2 linked regions of the Drosophila melanogaster genome follow. The protein of the gene in region 1 interacts with the protein of each later gene in a pairwise test. Each region holds a gene or a part of one and is shown on either strand. Other genes may lie near its edges.

Evidence for each region.
Region 2: the proteins of CG2021 (region 1) and CG10418 interact in a two-hybrid assay, tested with the Drosophila melanogaster proteins (2 studies listed by BioGRID).

Annotation. Positions count from the first base shown.
Region 1 is NT_037436.4:1,776,219-1,779,102, reverse strand, and holds CG2021 (uncharacterized protein), read left to right. Parts: upstream 1-1,691; 5' UTR 1,692-1,772; coding exon 1,773-2,060; 3' UTR 2,061-2,093; downstream 2,094-2,884. Other genes in the region: mRpL46 (mitochondrial ribosomal protein L46), read right to left, coding at 811-1,587; PolD2 (DNA polymerase delta subunit 2), read right to left, coding at 2,127-2,884.
Region 2 is NT_037436.4:12,334,882-12,337,811, forward strand, and holds CG10418 (uncharacterized protein), read left to right. Parts: upstream 1-1,794; 5' UTR 1,795-1,833; coding exon 1,834-1,836; intron 1,837-1,897; coding exon 1,898-1,965; intron 1,966-2,028; coding exon 2,029-2,245; 3' UTR 2,246-2,355; downstream 2,356-2,930. Other genes in the region: Lmx1a (LIM homeobox transcription factor 1 alpha), read left to right, coding at 1-204, 279-538.

The sequences.
Region 1 (2,884 bases):
ACAAAAAAAAATCAAACAAAAATATATATTTACACCATTATTTTCGATAATTTAGTCTCTAAGTCAAACAGTTTAATGCTTATTTAAGAACCTATGCCACAATGAACCTTAAATCAACAATAGCACCTTGCAATACATATTTATCAACATGACTATGAACCATTTCTAGTTTTTGCATTTATTTATCAACAGCCCAATGAGAAAGTATCTTAAATTTTGACGTTTCAGTTTGAGAATTGGCTACGCGTCCGGTCGCCGAAGAAGATATCTAATCGAGAACATTGTCACAGTAATTTGATCAACTTGCGCCTGAAAAGCAGATAAAAAGCTTAGCTTCCAGTAATCGAGCACACATTTTCAATATTGAATGTCTGTAACTTGTAACGAACATAGATACAACTGATATACCAAAAAGATTTAAGATACTCTTGCTACCAGAAATGCATAATAACCAGCCTTTTATGTTTCCTCCAGTTTCTACGTGTATTCGAAACGAAAGTAGTAAGCTTTTTCAAAGCAGAAAAAAAAAAGAAAAACAAAACAATAAATATTTGCCTCTGTATTGGACGTATATTTACAACTCGTGAATTGCAAAAATAAATATATTGCTGCATGTCTAAATATGTTAAATGAGTGGAGTTTTTATTAAAAATTCAGGGGAGTCTGTAATCTGATTTTGCAGAAGGAAGTTGGCAAAAGTATCAGCATCTCACCAGATTCTTCTCAAATGAAAGGCAGCTAGTAGATAGATATTCCTCTGAAGTATTTTTATTTATTTGTTAGATATCAAAACAATTTTAACAATTACGATTACAACAAGAACTTTTTAACGCTTTGGGCATAGGCTGTATTGGTCAGCTTTTCATTGAGCGCCTCCTTGGGAAGCCACTCGAACTTGGTCAGATTTTCGGGCACCTGGCCGGACCGCAGGGATGCTCTGTAGAAGAAGACCTTGGCTCCGACAGTCTCCGTCCGCTGGTTTCTGGGATACTTGTATTTGTGGAAGCCCACTGGGGCGTTGCCGTAGAAAAGAACCTGCAGCTCCTGGCCGCAACTCTCGCGGAGCACTCTTTCTGCAGTCTGACGCATGGACTCTCCCTCCTCACGCTTTCCCTGCGGTAGAATGAGGTGCTCCTGCTGGCCCAGCTTCTGCTGTACCAAAAGGTAGAGCGTGTCATCCAGACAGCGGTCCGTGGAGGTGGTTCTGTTGGCCTGGTCATCGGGCGTGGTGCGGGAGCCCAACTGGAACTTTTTTAGCTCCTCGACGTAGGCGTCCTTGAGGTCCTGAGCTGTCTGCTTGGATCCTGCGTCCTCCAAGTCCACCTGGATCTTGCCCTGCTTTATGAGCTCCGCCTGGACGATCTCACGTTCATGCTTGAGTTCATGGTCAGACTTCAGGCTGTTTTCGTACTCCACGCGCCATAGCAAGTCTTGGAACTGTTTTTCCAGCGGATTAAGGGACTTGGACACCACAGGGAGACGCTCTACGAGCACTCCGGCGTACAGGTCCCACTTTTCCGCGCTGGCGGTTGACGATTGGGCTCGGCTCAACTCCCGGGCACCCACTTGGACAATGCGACGCAGCATTTTAATCAGTTTAATTTAATTTTTTCGGAAAATAGAATGTTGACCACCGATTACATGAGCACCAGAGCCGGAACAGCTGATTTGCGGCACAGTTATCGTTATCGGAGAGCGCGTCGCTAGCCTCTTGCCACAATTAGTATTTATTTTGTTCTGTTTGGAGAAGTTATCAAGGAAAGACTGCTAAAATGTCCGGTCTGGAGTCGTATATCAATCACACAGTCTCCATCATTACGGCAGACGGACGGAACTTCATCGGGACACTCAAGGGATTCGACCAGACCATCAATATCATCATAGACGAGTGCCATGAGCGCGTCTTCTCTACCACCTCCGGCATCGAGCAAATCGTGCTGGGACTGCACATCATCCGGGGGGACAACATCGCGGTGATCGGACTGATAGACGAGACCATCGACTCCCGCCTGGATTTGGCCAACATTAGGGGCGAGCCGCTGGGTCCCGTGGTGCACTAGGATAGCGAATAAAACCAGTGATTCTCAAGACTTAACAGGGTGTATTATTTGTATTAATGAAGTTTCTTATTCTGCATCTACGCTAAAGTTGACCATGCGGCAATCCAGCGTATCCAGGTCAACGACGGCCACACTCTGTGTTTTGCTAAAACTGGGCACGCAGACTAGGCGGGTGCGCTTGCCTTCGGAACCCTCGTGCAGCTCGGTCGCAAACGACTCGCAGTTGCCGGCGTAGTAAACGTGCGGACACTCGCGCAGGATGAAGGGATCACTTTCGATGTACGGGTAGCACGCTAGAGTGTCCGGTGCAGTGGGAGCAACATGTCCCCAGGTGAGGGTGCAGCGAAGGGCCTCCAGCGCCGAGTCCAGCGAAGTGCTGCGCAACAGATCCGATACATTCTGGCCAGATGTGCCTACCACCAGGGCCTCATCCAGCCGGCAGCTGTACGGATTAGTCACCGCCTGGAAAGTTGCCAGTTGAGCAGCCTGGGGAAACATGCACTTGTGGAACGGCTGCTGGGGCAGCATAAAGTTGGCCGGGTCGTAGGGTCCCGGCATTATGTCGACGGGCAGACTGCGTGCCCATGAGGCAAACCACTGGTCTAGCTGGGAAACGGCCTGGACTGTGTCATTTGCGTTCGCCTGGGTGCGTGCCACCTGTAGGGTGGGCACATGTGCCATGGCACTGGCTCTCACCGAGTTTCCAGCCACGATAAGACGCACCATGGAGCCCGCTTCCTTGTTGTTTCCAAGACTGCCGGCCAGCCAGTACTGAAAGAGATTCAATGCCTCCACAAATTTGTGGGCCTGCAGTTGGTCCAACC
Region 2 (2,930 bases), about 11 Mb from region 1:
AGCAGAATGGTGGCTCCGGCGGAGGATCGGGCAGTGGGCGTGGCACGGGCAATTCCAGCGCCACCGACGATAAGGACACCAATGACAAGGAGGACAAGTGCGTCAAGCAGGAGCTCGGAGGAGATAGCTCCGGTTATTTGGGTGGATTGGACAGCACTTTCGCCAGCCAGCCGCTGAATCCCAATTTGCCCTTCTCACCGGATGGTAAGTGGTTCGATTTGAAGTTTGATTTCGTCCAAGCATTATTCTACAAGTACTAATGGCTTGCTTTTCAACAGACTATCCGGCCAACTCGAATGACAGCTTCTGCAGCTCGGACCTCTCGCTGGATGGGAGCAACTTTGACCAGTTGGATGACGATGCGGACTCGCTGTCGCTGAACAACCTGGAGCTGCAGTCCACCAGCTCGTCGGGCAACCAGCACTCGCACTCCCACTCGAATCCCCACGACATGCTGGCCAACCTGAACAACAGCCTGATAAACCCCATCGACAAGCTGTATCTCATGCAGAACTCGTACTTCAGCTCGGAGCATTAGATGGCCATTGGCTGGAATGACAGGGAAGCACCGAGGCGATCGTGGGATAGAGACGAATTTATTAGCGTTAGAGTGGCAGGATCCGATGGAAAAGGGACGCGAGGTCCTTGCTGTTACTTTAAAACGTAGCGCGTAGTTGGCACCTTCCGCATTCGGCGCATTAAGTTGGAGTCGTAGAACCGGATACAAGATACATCAAATGTGATTTTTTTAAGCTAATTGAAATTTTAAGATTCTTGGCGATTTGAAGGCGCAGAAAAACGGGGCGGGCAGCACATCTTTTTGTTGGTATAGACTCTAGAGGCAAACCAAAAAAAAAAATGTATAACTCCTTGAGAAATGGCAAAGTGGTCAATGCGCCCTCTTATGTTTGTAAATAGTTTTAACCACCCGAGAAAATTGTTATTAAATGTAATTTAAAAGTCAATAATTGTATTAGCAAGTGCAATTTAATCTGTTCCCCTAAAATATACATCTTAACCGAATTCTTGCAAATGTCTGTGGATCTTATCTTCGAATTAACGGATGCGTTCAATATTTTAAATGGGTTGGGATTGACTTGCGATTGTTAATATTTTTATTTCGCATGATTTTCCTTTATTTCTTATTTTTTATCCTTCGTCTTTTATCGGTAATATCGTCTCTTATTTTAAAAAATTAATTTTTTTTTTATATAATTGTAAGAATATTTATTTATTTATTTCGTATTTATTTACACAGCCTAATTTATTTTAAATTTTTTATTTGCCGTATTATCGAAAAATCCATTTAAGATGCGTTGATGCTTGATAATAAATAAAGAGCACAATAACTAAAAAGAAAACTTATTGCGTTTACTGTATTTACTCGACTGCGAATATATACACCTTTTTTTTGTGAATACTATGAATGCCTTAGTAAAGCTTCATAAATTGACCGAAATATATTATTTAAAAACCATATTTTTTTGCCCGCCAAAATGCTGCCCGTACAAAGCTGGCTTTTATGAAACTCGACCAATAGCGACGACAAAGCGTTGCCACATGGATAGAAATAATTAACAGATGGCAGCTCAGCTACTGCTTAATTCCTTTTAAGCCACACAGTTTAAAGATTTAATATACATTAATTTTTGATCAAATTTTATGAAAGTAATATTTATAAGCCAAATGTTAATAGAATATCGTTACTCACAATCACACATGAAATGTATCGATATGTATTTTTTAAAACAGCGATCGATAGTTTTTTATTTTTACAGTGCACATCTCTAAAAAAAAACAACGCGTTCGTCGAAATTGCAATAAACAATAACAATGGTACAAAACCGAAATAACTGTGAATTTAAGAATTAACATTAACGCTTTATGTAATCTGCAGCTCTTTTACTCCTTCTTCAAGTCGCTGGTGGGCAAGGAAGTCGTTGTGGAGTTGAAAAACGACCTCAGGTGAGATTCGTTTATTTGCCGGTAAATTGAGGAATTTTTAATACTTTCTTTATAATTAAACAGCATATGTGGCACCCTGCACTCGGTGGATCAGTACCTGAACATCAAGCTGACGGATATCAGTGTCACAGATCCGGACAAGTACCCCCACATGCTGAGCGTCAAGAACTGCTTCATCCGTGGCTCCGTGGTGCGATACGTGCAGCTGCCGGGCGACGAGGTGGACACCCAGCTGCTCCAGGATGCGGCGCGAAAGGAGGCTGTTGTGAGCACAAGATAAGAATACCACTACCAGCAGCCCAATTGGATCTACCCATTGCTTCGTAAACTGTCCTAAAAACCTAAGTGAAATTCTGTTAAAGCAAAACCAATAAGAGGAATCCCCGTATTAAGTCGCTATGTACGTTATTTACGGCCCATCAGTTTTCGATGAGTCAGTCTCGAGGTTACCGTGGGTGCTGCTCCCTACGCTTGCGCAAATGTCCCAGCTTTTATCGCTCCACGCTTGAATGGAGCCAGTAGAGCCAAGTGTGGCTTGTGGGCCAAATTTTGTGTCATGTTGATAATGGTCCATAAATTTGTATAATTGCTGTGACGATGTACTGGCTGTCTGAATGTCTGGATGCCTTGTCTACACATCACCGGATACACGGACTCATTCATACAAGGTTTCCACAATGGGTTGCTATATCACACGACTATACTCGTATGTACTTGCAGCCCGTTTTACGATTGTGATTGCTATTATGGCCCGGCCCTCGAATTCAACCTTTTATCCGCAATAAAATGGAGGAGCCTGGCGGAATGCTTTTAATTTTCTGGACCTCGACCCGCTCCTTAAGTGCCTCTTCGCCAGCCGCCATCGAATGGCTTTGTTTGCTGGAATTCGTACTTAAAATAAAATACGCATTCGTGGAACACTTTTCGCTCGGCATTTACATTTCGGAATGGCCAGGGAATCGCGT